2 linked regions of the Oreochromis niloticus genome follow. The protein of the gene in region 1 purifies or fractionates together with the protein of each later gene. This does not show direct contact. Links are inferred from orthologs where the notes say so. Each region holds a gene or a part of one and is shown in the gene's direction. Other genes may lie near its edges.

The links. Proteins that work in one complex are often made in the same cells at the same time.
Region 2: the proteins of lin28aa (region 1) and bxdc2 purify together in Homo sapiens (affinity purification with mass spectrometry; 3 studies listed by BioGRID and IntAct, with this or other methods). This does not show direct contact. The link is inferred for Oreochromis niloticus from reciprocal best matches to the Homo sapiens genes LIN28A and BRIX1.

Annotation. Positions count from the first base shown.
Region 1 is NC_031976.2:26,322,451-26,330,394, reverse strand, and holds the start of lin28aa (protein lin-28 homolog A), read left to right. Parts: upstream 1-4,861; 5' UTR 4,862-6,430; coding exon of another isoform or gene 6,431-6,440; 5' UTR 6,441-6,811; coding exon 6,812-6,842; intron 6,843-7,346; coding exon 7,347-7,519; intron 7,520-7,944. Other genes in the region: glycoprotein endo-alpha-1,2-mannosidase-like protein, read right to left, coding at 788-897, 2,168-2,678. UniProt on the Homo sapiens protein: RNA-binding protein that inhibits processing of pre-let-7 miRNAs and regulates translation of mRNAs that control developmental timing, pluripotency and metabolism.
Region 2 is NC_031972.2:18,182,020-18,189,416, forward strand, and holds the start of bxdc2 (ribosome biogenesis protein BRX1 homolog), read left to right. Parts: upstream 1-4,301; 5' UTR 4,302-4,345; coding exon 4,346-4,495; intron 4,496-5,666; coding exon 5,667-5,778; intron 5,779-5,871; coding exon 5,872-5,915; intron 5,916-5,998; coding exon 5,999-6,069; intron 6,070-6,159; coding exon 6,160-6,209; intron 6,210-6,299; coding exon 6,300-6,373; intron 6,374-7,329; coding exon 7,330-7,380; intron 7,381-7,397. UniProt on the Homo sapiens protein: Required for biogenesis of the 60S ribosomal subunit.

The DNA of each region.
Region 1 (7,944 bases):
TGTAAATCATAGATATGAGGAATTCTTAAGATTAGATAACTTTGGACATTGTTACAGCTGTTAGGAATTAGGAGAAGCCTAGCTGCTGCCATCTGGCCTAGATTCTTTATCATGGTGATTTGCTGTACATTAATCCATGAGCACGGTATCCATGCATGTTGGGCAGTGGCTACTGTTGTGTAGTAGTACTAAATTGGCACTATGCTTTCCTTTTGAGAGGCAGTCTGTTGGTAACTGAATATATTTTTTCCAATCATAACAAACTGGCGCAAATTACGGACATATTTTTTTTTTTGTTATAGTCTTTATCCAACCACAAAAATGCCCTGTTCAGGTTAAAAATCTCCTCTGTAAGTGATTTGGTCAAATGAAATCTCTAGAGATGCATCTCCTGTATTTCTTAAAGGACATGCAGAATAGCTGCTGAGTGACAGAAATGACAAAGTCACTGATGTGTTTTCCAGGAAGTTAGAGTCCTAAAGTTAAAATGAATTTCATAAATGTAATTTTTCCAACAGAGTTCAAAACCACTGTAAACTCTGTTATATTTCTATATGATCTGAGCTTACTTTAGTTATACTTTGGCAGTATTGTTATATAGTGTGCTATCTGATTTCCTTTTCATTGTTCTGTCTTTTAGAGTTTCAATAAAAGTCAATGAAGAGGAAAGAGGAAAAAAGTTAATGTTTAAAATAGATGATTCATCTAAAAAACATCTCTCTCTCTCTCACACACACACACACACACACACACACACACACACATAAAATGTGCTGACACTGCTTACCTTGAGGTTGTGTCTATATGCTGCATCCAGTACAGCTGGTACCAAATCCTCAGCAGGTTCCCCGTTGTCATCAGCTACTCCAGGAGGATACCAGGACAGGACCAGAACACCTAGAGGGAGATAAGCACTTGATCAAAGATACGAATTAACACTTTAGAGCACCATCACCTTCTGATGGGAACATAATTACAAAATGTATATGAAGCTCTAACAATATTATTGTATGGATTGCTGAAAAGATGCATGGATTTCAAGCTAACTGTGTTTATGTGAAGTTATTGTTGTCTTGTAGTAATGTTGCTTTCTCTGCGATTATCCTTTAGTGTCTCTTTGTGGTTCACAGCAATATAGTACATCCGCTGATCTGTGGAGGACAGTTAATTTTTTTAATGAATATGTACTTGTCATCTTAGGACTATTTATTATGCCTTGTTTTAGTGGCAACAGTTTGAGTGTGTGACAGCTCATAAATTCATAAACTCACGCTGGCTGAAAAATGGTTTTCTATCAGCCACAGCAGTGCCTGGCAAGAGGTAGGAACTGGCACACTGTATATGCACTCACAACTAATTTATTAAACTCATGTCCACTTGCTGTGGAGCTGTGGAGACTATTAGATTACAATAGCCAAACATGTCTTTGTGTATCAAGAAGCCGGCTACTACTATTCATTTTAGTGGCAGGAAATCAGTCACCAAGTCAAGCAGATCTATTTACAGTTGAGTATGAGGTCTCTAATTAAATGGATGGTTTTAACTAAGCAACTTTGAGCTGGACCTCCCATGATTCCCAGGTTTCAGGGTTAGATGGCCTTCATCACTCAAGCTGGTGTACAGTAACCTACTGCACCGCAGGACAGACACATCAGGGCCTATCATGTGTTGGCTGCTGATGGCTGACACACTGCGCTGTTACTTGACACCAGGGAACAAACTTGTACTGAATTTAAGGGAGCCATACAAGTCTTTGATGAGACTGCAACACAACTATTATCAGTTCATGACATTTAAAAGAGATAAAGGTACTTGCAGAGATACTTTGGGGCTTGGTGATGCTTTAATACTAAAGTAGTATAAGGTTCGGTTTTAATATAGATAGCTAAACATCTTTAAAAACATTAGTTTGCTTCTGATGTACACCTAATGAAGGATGAAAGCGCAGCAGCAGATATTTGAGGACCAAGCGTGTGGGGAGCTGTCCAGTATATGTGTGGTGCTGAAAAATGTGTCGAGCCCCTTCAGCAAAAAGGAGGCAGCTTTGTGCTTACAGAAGCCACATTTCTGTAAAGCTGCTGACCACAAATAACAACACTCAGCTCTTTTTTTGTGCGTCTCTCCGAGAATTTCAGGGTGCCGGTTTGCATTTTTTTTTTTACAGTACCTGCTGCTGATGCTCCGATCTGCTCCATGTGGGACTCCAACACATCCGGATCCCGAGAGCTGTACGGATTGAGTTCGGGGTAGAAACTGGAGCCGATATCCTCGGGCGGCATGTGTTTCCCTCTCGGGTAGCTGGATGCGATCTTAGGGTCCCAGTGCGGGACTAGGATGTGATCCCAGTGAATGTATTTACCGTCCATATGTGGGTTGCCGTACCACATATAGTAGAAAATATGAACATCATAAAATATGGTCCCCTCGGGGCCGGTGTTAGACAACACGGCTTTGGCGTTGCTGCCCGGCGGACGGGCTTGACCCGGGGAAGCGGTCCCATCACTGGACACTGAGCGCCGGTCCATCTTTCCTCCGATCATCGGCAGGAGCTCCAAGCCCGGAGCCAAGTCCGAGAAGCCGTCACTGGGCTTCAGGGTCCTCAGTCCCATCATGGTCCCAAAGATGAACAGCGTGAAAAGAAACAGAGCTATGCACGCTTTCCTCCTCAGTCGTGCCATGGTTGGCTAGAGTGGCAGGAGCTGCATACGGCGCGGACGGAACCAAGAGCGCAAATTAAACCTGCGTCCTGCTTCTGCGGCCAGATGGAGTTCACCTCACAACCTACGAGCTACTCTCCGAAGTGTTTCTCGTCGCATCGGCTAAAGGACGAGTCTACATGATTGCACTCAAACCAGAGAGGACTATCCGACGTATCTGATTAAGGAATTTTTAACTTTCTTCTGTTCCGCATTTCGATGAGCTGCGGATTTTTTTATTTATTTATTTTTTTATCACTGCAACGCGGATCTATACCTCTAAGAGAAGCCCGAGCTACAATTTTCTGTTTTAAATGCCACAGGCCAGTTATTCCTAACTTAAGACTCTCCTCTCATATTTTTTTTCCACACTGTCACTCACTAAGATGCTTCACCTCTCCCGTGGACCGCCCCCGCCCATCAGCTGCTCCATCCACCTGACTTCCGACAAAAAAAAACGGTGTCTTAACGCAGGGGTGATGCTCTCTGTTGGTCATGCCCGGAGAGGCTTTAAAGCCTCCGCGCTTGGTTGGCTGGTGTTTCCTTATGGATGCCAAAGAGGCGGGACCCTTCTCGTGCACCGTTTCTAAAGTTTATACTCAAAAAGAAAAGACTAAAAAACAACATGCATAGGTCCCCAGTTATATAGCCTACTATTCTTATCAACAGGTCTGAGGCCACAAGACTAGAACTCGTCTCTTAAAGGTGACATCAACTACTATTTTCTCATAAAGTTGTTTTCAAAGTTAAACCTGAGGTATTAGATTTTTATTGATTTTAGTCGGCACTTTGAACCGAGACTTATACTGACATCTAGTGGTCATTTTATAGAACACATACCACTTTGCTGCCTTCGGGTACTGGGTGGTGTTGTGCCAAAAAGTGATTTCGTATGTTTGGTTTTTGTTGTTGTTGTTTGTTTGGGTTTTTTTTTTATATCGAATACCTTTATTTATATTGGCAAATAGACTGTCGTAAACAGGATTTATGAAGGATTGATATATATATATATATATAAAATAAAGAAATTACCTCTTTTACAAGTATCTTTATGACTGCGTTATTGTACCTACATTATATTCAATCCAGCCCTTTTTGGTCACTTAAGTATGTTTACAGAATCCTGATGTTATATTTCTTATAATTTTTGCTGCCCTCTTGGCCGGATCTCTCAAGAAAAAGACATTTGCAATTCCAGAGATTATTCTTTCTTTCTTTCTTTCTTTCTTTCTTTCTTTCTTTCTTTCTTTCTTTCTTTCTTTCTTTCTTTTTTTTTACAGGATAAATAAAGGATAAAACAGTCGCAAAAATTCATTGTGGCTTTTACCTTGTGATAGGAATGTTCTTCCTAACTCAAAAATACTTGATATCATTCACGAGAGATATGTCTGACTTTGGGACAAATTATAGACCAACAAGTTGTTTATAACAGTTTGAATTCCCGCAATCATTTTCTGGCAAATACCGGAAATAAATTTTTGGCAGACGAGAAATAGCAAAAAGTATATTTTGATGTGTGACGGATAGGGAACTCATAAAATAAATGTGGCTTGTTTTCCATTTATTTTTTATTAATAATGTAAGTAGTAATAATAAGAGTATTAACTGTTGCTGTTGTGTAGAGTTTTTTTTGGGGGGGGGGGGGGGGTATTGTAAATAAACTTTGTCGCCACTTTGTGGGATAAGCAAATATAACAAAGCGCCTCCTGTCGTCAGAACAAGGTTTCTTTGCGCTGGCATTCAGTCATATTGTCCAAAAGCACTGGCTTTCGGTCATCCTATTAGGTAGCACTTACGGCTCTCTTACCCCACTATTGGAAGTTCTGACGTCCTGACACTTTATTAGATTGTTTTCTTTGCACAAGAACGCCAGCATGAAGTGGCAATAAAAATGTTCATGGCCTCTGTGATCATTAGCCAAACCTCTATAAAGATAAATGTAATAACAGTTAATCAGTTAGTAAACTAGTTAGTAAATTATGCAAAAACATACAACTCGTGCCTTCGACCTATGCCACTAAAAAAACACATTTTTCAAACGAAATTACAAAACTAAAAGTAAAAACTAAAATAAATACAAAAATACTGTTGATTTTTTTTTTAAAAGAAATAAACGTAACCGCTGATTAATAATTTTCTTTTCTTTCTTTCTTTGAGCATGAAGTGCAGCTTCCATATTAAATTAAAATATATTATATCTGGGGCCACAAATACACGTTTTGCGGGTCCACAAGAGGTCGTTGTAGTAATTGTGATGAACTGGGAGCCACAGCCTCCTCTCAGTCATCAATCACATATTTCCATTTCAACAAATAAATAAGTAAAATACAACAGAATACGGGTATATTTAATATTATTTAGTATTGCCAATTTAGGCCAAATCAGTGACAGTAATAAATCGTTTTTATTTAGCAAACACACAAATAAATTAGCAAATGCAAAACCGCATCTTTTATATTTGTTGGTGTAGCATAAAGCAAACGAATTACAATTTCAAATACATCCATGTGTCCATGTTGAGACATGTAAACGGACTTTGTGTATTTTTTTCCTTTTCTGCAATCTTATCTGTCATTTCCAAAACCTTTGTAAATGTAACAACACATAATCATCACCAGTAAATTCGTTAACAGCATCTTTTCAATCTTTTTTTTATTTTTTATTTTGTTTTTGCATTTGTATTTTTAATTTAGGCTGAGATAAATTTGCTTATCCCCCTCCTGTCTTTAAGTCATCACTCATTTCACAAGGACGCAATTCAACAACACGCTTAACGTGATGTGATCAATCACTATTGATCCATGAATTCGTTTTATTTTCGTGAGGTCGCCTTCTTTTTTCTTTTTTCTTTCTTTTTTTGCAAAAACTGCTTTGCATGCTTTTGTTAAATCCGAGTTATTGTTATTCTCTCTCTCTCCCTTTTTCTTCTTCACGCCTTCACCTAGCTTGTTTGACTCCTTTGAGCTCTTCCTCCTCTGCTGCATGTGGAAAAAAACCGTCCCCCACTCACAATTTCATCTGGATTACCATTAAACCCTCCTAGGAGAGCAGTTACACGAATCTCTGATTATAAGGAAACCAACGCACGTGAGAATTAATATGACATGGATATAAAATGTAGATATTCAAATCCATTATTATTATTTTTTTAAAAGAACATCTCAAACTAATTGCTTTCAGTAGAGTGCTTTAAACCATTTACTTCTGGCCTTTTCATCTATTACATGCAGCTTCACCTCACTATATATATTTACATGAAATGCTTAAATGCGTCAAGTCTTAAAGGAAAATGTTTGTTTTAGTATCCGGTTTTATTTAAATAAAAGTTTAATTTTAGGCAGATAAATGCCTCAAAATACATTACAGATAAATTTACAGTAAGTGTAAACTCACTACTAGAACAGATGCTTAGGTTGCAATATAAGGATGTTACACTGGTTACAGAAGTAGTGGCCAATCACAACAACAAAGGTAGTATAAGAATATTATGCGTATTATAGTGATTGGCCACTTCCCATGTTTGGGCTCGTCCATCACGCAATATGCAGTGTATCCCTGGGGACTGTAATTGTGAATCACGTGGACGTGACCGAGTGTTTGGGGGTTTTGTTGGGTGGGAAATGGTCATTTGTATTGACCAACAGAGCTGGCCACTGCAGGAGCGCTAAAAGGCGTCCAAAGAAAGGGGAGAAACGGCAGCAGTGGACACTGAGATTAAACCATAGCTCCCGAACATGGCAGAAGGTATGCTGGCAGGTTTTAGGGAGTTATCTCTGGAAACGGTTAGAGCGCTTTCTGGTGGGGCAGGGTTTCGATGTATTGTCTAAGATGTTTTTTGGGGTTTTTTTTTTTTGTTTAGCGAGGGGGGGTCGGGGTCTTCACAGAAAAAAAGAAATTCTCCCGGTGACCCCCCACCCCTCATTGTTTAAGGGGGATAGGTTGCCAGCCCCCTTTTGTTTACCTCCCTCTCACGCTTTCCCTCTCGCTGCGCAGCTTCTGCGTTTCACAGCATTTTGCATGAAAGTGGCAATCTGCGAGGATTACCCAGTTTGAGGGCTTGTACACTGGATACTGTAGCTTGGGTGCTGATTTTGACTCAAGGCAGAACTGAAGACATGGGTTCCGTTTCTAAGAAGCAGCTCCGAGGTTGGGTAACTTGAGCTACATTTTGAGAAGTTTTTGCAAGTTAATTGAGTCGTTGTACCTGTGGACTGTGTGCTCGATTGCAGCGGAACGTTTTAACGCATTGTTCACACACTTGAACGTTAAAATGTGCAGTCCGTGTGTCTATCAGTGCTTTGCATTGTCTTTAGAATTTCGTGCATCTTACGGGAAGGAACAATATTTTTGTTTCTTTTTTGCGCTAATTTTACACCAACTCGTTGTGCATTCGCTGAAAAAAGTCGCATGTTTATTTCCATTAAAAAGTTGGCTATAATTTATTTCAAATTATGTGAGAAATACAGCCTAATCTTGTTCATTTTATTGATTCGTATTGATTATTGATTGGGTAGCCTAGCCTAAAGGAAAATGGGTATTTCCGTTTTTTAAAACCTTTCAATTTCAAAAAATTCTTTTGCGTTTTTAAGCATCGTCACATTCGCAGGTTTAAAGCTTTTATGTAGTAATTGCTAAATTGTTTCATCGTAGGAGTGTGTAAAACCGAGGAGGATGAAGGACCGAGTCCCGAGGAGAATTCAGAGTCTTTCCACGGGGTCGGTGTGTGTAAATGGTTCAACGTCCGCATGGGTTTCGGGTTCCTGTCCATGACCAGCCGGGAGGGAGTGCCGCTGGAAGAGCCGGTGGATGTGTTCGTCCATCAGGTATGATCTGCTTTTGCTCCGACGTGGTGTTTGTTTATCATGAGAAACGCAGCACTGGTGGTGGCGGTGTGTGAACCAGCTCGTATAAACCTTTGCATCCCAATAAAGATAAATAAAATGTAATGGTAAAAATATGTTTTCCATCTAAGCAAGTAAAATCTCTCCACACCAGGAGATCAGAGATCAATCTGATCTTCTTCCAGTCTTCAGTTTATGTGTTTTTAGACCTAGTCCCAGCAGCAAAGGATTGTGGGCATAAGTTAAAACATTACAACAAACAAAAACTTAAAGAAACCGAGGTTAATCAGAAATCCAGTCCTTCAGCAGGGAGGGCACTGAAAGACTTTCAAAGATGAAAATTGCTATAATGCCGGAAACGTCTAACTGTTAAATTGATGCTTTTGCTGCGCGGTGGGTGTTTCTCC
Region 2 (7,397 bases), on another chromosome or scaffold:
GCCTTCATGTCGTGTTTATGGAGGTCAAAGATGAAAAATAAAACCTATATATAATGTTCAAAAACAAGTAAAACAGCGGCTTGTGTCAGCAGGTTTCAGATCCACAGTTACATAAATCTCTGTTTGGGACAATGCAGTAATAATTGCAGAGGTCTTTTGAGTTTTAGTTTTTTTCCTAATCTGCTTTGTTCTGATTACACCTTTTGTGTATGTTTCCCCACACGCAACCCTTTGCGTGTCTGCAGTATTGTTTCCACCAACAGGAAGGAGCAGGTAATTATAAGCAGATTAGGAAGTGGTAACAATGACTTGAATGCTATTCTTCTTCATATAGGAAAACATCCCACTGGGTATTGTCATCATCAGTGCCCAGAAAAGAAAAGACATCAATCAGGACATTAATCGGGGAATAATAAAAGGAAAAAAGACCTATGGGTGCATGGCTGCAAAGGTTAGGATATATGTTGTTTGACAGCAGAGATGAAGATGAGGACTTGGTGTGGTAAAAGCAGCCTGCAAACCGTGGCAGCAACATAAGTGTCGTGTCATACTGTATTTCAAAAATAACCAGCCGTTATCAGCATCCTGTACCCTAACATTGGCAATCAGGATAAGCGGTCACACATAGCTGGTTACCAACTCACTTGGTCAACTGAGCAAGTTGTGGGGGAAATGATTGTTCGATCCCTTGCAGAATTAGTTTGCTCGTTTACAAAGAAATATCCCTAATCTTCACAGTAGTTTTAATGGAGAGACACAAAAGATAAACCAGAAAAACACACACACACACACACACACACACACATTACATAAAAGGTATGTCCCTGTACTTTTATAGTATTTGGTGAGGAAAAAACACTTTTTGGCTAGTAAAGCGGTAAGACGTTTATTATAGTTGGTCACCAGGTTGGCAACCAGATCAGGAGGGATTTTGGCCCACCTCTCTAAATCCTTGTGGTTTCTTGGCTGCCACTTGGCAACTGGAAGCTTCAGCTCCTTCCACAGATGTTCAATAGGAAAATTGGACCTTTGGTGTGGTGACGCTGTCTTGTACTTTTAGCAGAAAAGGAGCCCGAAAGCATGACGTTTCCACCTCCGTGCTTGACTGTGGGAATAGTGTTCTTTGGACGATACTCAGTATTTCTCTTGCTCCAAACATGCAGGGTTGGGTTGATGCCAGACAGCATGATTTTAGTTTCTTTTGACCACAGTACTTTCTCCCAAGGCTTCTCTGCTTCATTTAGATGTTCACTGGCAACTAGATGAGCTTGAACATTTGCCTTATTGAGCATGGGGACCTTGGTGGTGCTGCAAGACATCAGTGCACTTCAGCACAGTGTGTTATCAAAGGTCTTCTTAGTGATGGTGGTCCCAACTGCCTTCAGAGCCTCCTGTATAGTTTTAGACTGATCTTCCACTTTCCTCATGATTATCTTCATCCTATGAGGGAAAATCTTTCATGGAGGGTGACCAATGATTATTTTATATTTCTTCCATTTCCAAATATTTGCAACAGTTTTCACCTTCTCTCTAAGCTTCTTGCTGATGTTTTAGAGCTCAGTCAAGCCTTGTGCAGGCCTCCAATCTGTTCCTTACATCCTTTGGCAGCTCTTTGGTTTTGCCCATGCTGGTGGAGAGATGCTTTTTTCCGGATTATAGGTTGATATTCTCCCTCTTTCTATTAAAATGAAACTAGCAAAACAAAAAACAAAAAAAATGAGAGAATGTTCATTTCTTTGGCAACAAGCAAACTTGCAATTTCAGCAGGGGATCACATTTCCCCCACTGTAGGTGTGAGCACATTCACATGAAAGGGGTGTTATTGGCAATCACACTGATTGTTATGTCACCAGCTGAGCAGCTGATTTTACAAAGGAAGAATAAACTATGATGTTAAAAAAATATGAAGTGGTTAAAAACATAACAGAGAATCAAAATAACACAGCTACTTCAGATAAATCAGCGACATGAGAGAGAAAAAACTGTACTGTTTCGTGTTAAAAGTGCTGTATGAATTTGTGAGTGCTTTCAATGTTTTGGACAATAAGACTGAAAAAGAGCTACATATTGATAAAGTGTAGCTGACTTCAAGGCAGGAAGAAAACCTGGGGAAAATGCCAGTTGTGCGATTTAACAAATAAATCACTTATCACAACTTTATCATTCGGGAATTGTGACATTGATCAAGACTTCAGTCGGTGGAGAGTTCATACCTGTTCATCTCTAATCTGGCGTTGTGACAGAAAGTGTTTTTTACATGTAAGATGTTTGCTTGTATTGGTAAACAGACTGTAGTCAACAGGATTTACAAAGGGATTATATTTTAAATAAAGAAATTACCTGTTTTAGCATTTCTGCAGTGCTTTCAACACCATCCAGCCACGACTTCTGAGGGACAAGCTGGAGCTATCGGGAGTGGACCACCACATGTCCCAGTGGATACTATGGACTATCTCACAGAACGCCCACAGTATGTGAGGACACAGGGCTGTGTCTCTGATACACTGGTCTGCAGTATGGGGGCCCCCACAGGGAACTGTGCTGGCACCGTTCCTCTTCACCCTCTACACTGCAGACTTCTCCATCAACTCCCCACGCTGCCACCTACAGAAGTTCTCTGACGACTCTGCCATAGTTGGCCTCATCACAGGTGAGGATGACTCAGAGTACAGACAGTGGACTCTGGACTTTGTAGACTGGTGTCAGCAGAACCACCTGCTGATCAATGCCGGGAAAACCAAAGAGTTGGTGGTGGACTTCCGGAGACGCAGACCCACCACACTGACACCGGTGAACATCCAGGGAGTGGACATTGAGATAGTGGACTCTTATAGGTACCTGAGTGTTCACCTGAATAATAAACTGGACTGGAGCCACAACACTGATGCTCTTTACAGGAAGGGTCAGAGCAGACTCTACCTGCTGAGGCGGCTGAGGTCATTTGGAGTCCAGGGAGCGCTTTTAAAGATCTTCTATGACTCTGTCGTGGCATCTGTCATTTTTTACAGTGTTGTATGATGGAGCAGCAGTTTATCGGCAGCTGAGAGGAAGAGGTTGTGTAAACTTATCAGGAAAGCCAGCTCTGCTCTGGGATGCACCCTGGACCCAGTGCAGGTGGTGGGAGACAGAAGGACTCTGGCCAAAATAACATCTCTGATAGACAGAGTCTCCCACCCCATGCATGTAAATGTTGCTGAACTGCAGAGCTCCTTCAGTGACAGACTGCTGCATCCTAGATGCATGAAGGAGCGTTTCCGCAGGTCCTTCCTCCCTGCAGCTGTCAGACTGCAACTTGCACTATTTTATCAACCGATTCACACTACAACCTGGGTTTGCCTCTTATCTGTATTTCATTTTATTTTATTTAATAACTGTACAGTACTCTGTTTTTGGTAACCATTGCCCTTGATGTAAATATGTAAAAATTGTGTATGTTTCTGTTCTGTGTCTTGTGTACTGTTTGTTTGTATATGTGTCTTTCTTGCTGCTGTTACATCCAAATTTCCCCTTGTGGGACAATTAAAGGATTATTCTATTCTATTCTATTCTATTCTATTTAAAAGAATGACTCTGCATTATTGTACCTACATTATAACCAATCAAGTCCTTTTTGGTCACTTAAAATATCATTATAGAACTATAATGCTAATTTGTTGCCATTTCTGATACATTCTTGGCCAGATCCCCTCAAAGAAGACATTTTGAATGTCAACAAGACTCTTTAATGGGACAAATAAAGGTCATATAAAAGAAACTTTACCAAAAACTAATTTCAGTTTCTACCTTGTAGCAGGAATGTTGTTTGTGGCTCAAGATGACTTAATAGCTATCACAAGGGAAACATTTGGCACATATTTCACATGTTATAGGCCAACAAGTCAATGACAGCAATTAAAATACGAGTAATCACTTTTTTGGCGAATACCAGAAAGCACTTTTAGGCAGACGATCACTTAAGGTTCGCAGAATGAGTTACCGTGGCGATGTAACCCTGTAACTGATCGACCTTTTTAGTACAGGGAACGCAGGGTTCATCCTGGAGCTACTTAATATAGAATGCCATATAGGCAGGTGGAGGCAGGTGGAGGCAGGAACTGGCATCATGCCACACCTGTCTCTGGCAGGCAGGAGTAACAGGAGTGATCCTGAACGAATAAATGAATAAATAATTTTTTTTTTCAATGCCAGGGTTGAAAAGGGGGATCTTTCTTTCTTTCTTTCTTCTAGAGCCGCCATCCAAAAAAGACGTTGGGGGTACCATCTCCAGGACACTAGAGGTCACTCTCACTATTGCTTTATGTTATTTTTTTTCTTCGGAAGTTCGGAGTTTCGTGTGCGTGCAAACATGTCGCCGTTCAAGAGAAAACGTGCCGGCCAAGATTCCGTTGATTTCAAGCCGAAAAAAGGAAAACTGGTACCAGATGAAGGCAAAGGCCTAGAGGAAGTGGGAAGAGAGAAGGAACATGAGATCACGGTGCCAGCACCGATCTCTCAGGTCAGAGTTATAGCGTGTTATTGTCCACTGAACTATTTTAGCTGGTGAGCCAACTTCAGTTTACCAACTACGCGCTACTTTACTTACTTATCTATAACCTGTTCAGTGTGTTGCATCGGATAGAGGAATTCGTTATATCGGAACATTCCCAATCTGATATCGCCACAGATATAAACCAAACTGCCTTCTTAAACGTACAGTCGGCATTTAAGGCTAATTAATAGTAAAAAGAAAGAATGTTGTGCTCATAAATATGATAGTGTGTTATTACGTTCCTTCCAACAAATTGATGCGTTTTAATAAACGCATCGTTAATCCATTAAAAATACATAAATGGCTCGTGATGTTTTGTGGAGGCGGCCAGCTTATTTAAATACAGTGGCCGGGAAGGACATTTCCCTTCCACCCAGTCGCATTTTACATGTGGCTAAAGCTCGGCTACATGTGTAAAACACCAAAGGAAGAGAACTCGTAGAAGTCGACCTCGGAGGCTATTTTAAATTCGTGACTTCGTCTTCAGACTCAAGACTTGAAGGATTATGCTTGTGTTTTATAGTCGTGGAGAAGGGGTCCCCTTCATCAAAGAATCAAAAATGCAAAGGAAAAGAGAGAGGCCCACCAGCATTTTAAGAAAATGTCATCCTCGTTATCCTCACCTCAAGCCAGTGCTTTTGTACATGGAAACAACATGCTAATTTATTCCTGATGTTGTTGCTGTTACTCATAGTCACTGGCTAAACAACAATAGCATCTAATTAGAAAGTGTCCCAAAAAGGTTTCGCTGTAATAAACAGTTTGCTTACATCGGAGGGTTTATTCACAAAGCATCAAAACAGCAGCTTTTACCAAAAGAAAGGTTCAGCATATCCTCAATAACTCACCTCAGTATGGAGGTCAAAGGTCACTGACCTGTATTAGACTACTTCCACAAAGTTTGAGGGTCTCTTCCAGATTGAATAAATGTGGATCCCTCTTACCCAGAATTGACAGCTGAGGTAAACAATGGACCAACAGCCTTCCGCAGACAGGGAAAAACTTCCGGGCAGATCCATATCTGCTCTGAACCGTAGTAGAAGAACGCTGTTTCTTTGCTTTTGTTGCATTTTAAGACTGAAATTGCAAACTGGTATTTGTTTTAGTTCGATGTTCTGAGGTAAACTCTCTTTAACAGGGCAAATGGACCAACAAGGAAAGAGTTCTGATTTTCTCCTCCAGAGGGATCAACTTCAGAACCAGACACCTGATGCAGGACCTGAGGACCATGATGCCTCATGCAAAGGCAGGTTAGTGTCATATAGCATTCACCTACGGCATTGCTTCACACAAACACCTGTGTTATCTGTCTTACCTTACTAACCCACAAATCTTGTGCCTAGACACAAAAATGGACAGAAAGGATAAGCTGTTTGTCATAAACGAGGTAAGTTTGCTGTTTAATATCTCAGTTTACTCTTATATAACATATATAAAGCATCCAGGAGAATAAAGTCATTTGTTTGGCAGGTTTGTGAGATCAAAAACTGCAACAAGTGCCTCTATTTTGAGGCCAAGAAGAAGCAGGACCTCTATATGTGGTGAGAATTTCATTGGTATTACATCTCGTGTACATCAGACTCATAATAAAGCCAATCTGAACTAAGTTCAATCATGTTCTTGTCTTGTAGGATTTCAAACAGCCCCCATGGCCCTTCTGCAAAGTTCCTAGTCCAGAACAGTAAGTTATTTCTCCACTAAAGCCCTCAAATGCAGCAATCACTTGTTATATGTTGGGAAAAATAATTGCATTGCCCCTCCTCTTCGACAGTTCACACACTGGCCGAACTCAAACTGACAGGAAACTGCCTCAAAGGATCCAGGCCGCTGCTCTCGTTTGATCCTGTGAGTAGAACTGGGTCATAAAGCCAGGAGTAATAAATGAGACTTGCTGTTAGTTTATAATCAGTATGTGTTTATTCCGAATTTCTTGCACTATGAGTCTCATCAACACCACATCAGATATTTATGGTTTAGTGTAGTCAAGGAAATAGGGATGGGAATTGGTAAGAATTTAGCGATTCCGAGATCGATATCATTTATCGATTTGATTACTTATTGCAGCAATATAGAAATTACCTTCATGCAAATTAACTGCATGCTGTGGGTTAAATGTTTGTGCATGTTACACAGAACATATTAGACATATTACACAGAACACTTTTCTTCAAAGTAATGCAGTACGTTACTTAATTACTCCCTGGAAAAAATAATTCCTTACACTACTCGTTACATTACTTTCATGTTACACTATAACTGAGCTGAAATACACTATTTAACAATATAAACCTGAGGCTACAACCCCACACACCAACACAAATCCCTAATGAGAACACACATCTCTAAGATCTTTCTCTTGGAGAATACAAAGCAGACCACACAAGTACCGAAGTTGTGTTAGCAGTATAATGCAGTTTTTTCTGTCCAGTTTTCCACTTTACCATTTATCTCATTCTTTTGTGCAATAAAAATAAGTGTCCATATCCATGCTCGACTGCGTCGCCTTTTTCCTCCTCTGACAAGCGAACCGTGCAGGAACCAGTAAGCGGGATCGATAGAAAGGCAGAATAACAATTCCAAGGAATTGGACTTCTGGGAATCGGTTTTCTACATAAACTGGTTCTCGATTCCCATCCCTACAAATAGCGTCACAAAAATCTGCACAGTGTCTTCACGCTGATACAAAATTCTCGGTCTGTGATTTGAATAGTGAAGGTGTTTTTGTGTTTAAGTTGAATTTAAGAAAAAACTCCTGAGCAAGAGCTAAAGTTTTTATTTTTACTCTTTATTTTCTTTCACAGAAATTCGACAAGGAGCCTCACTATGCTTTACTGAAAGAGCTCTTCATCCAGGTGCGTTTCCAGGACAG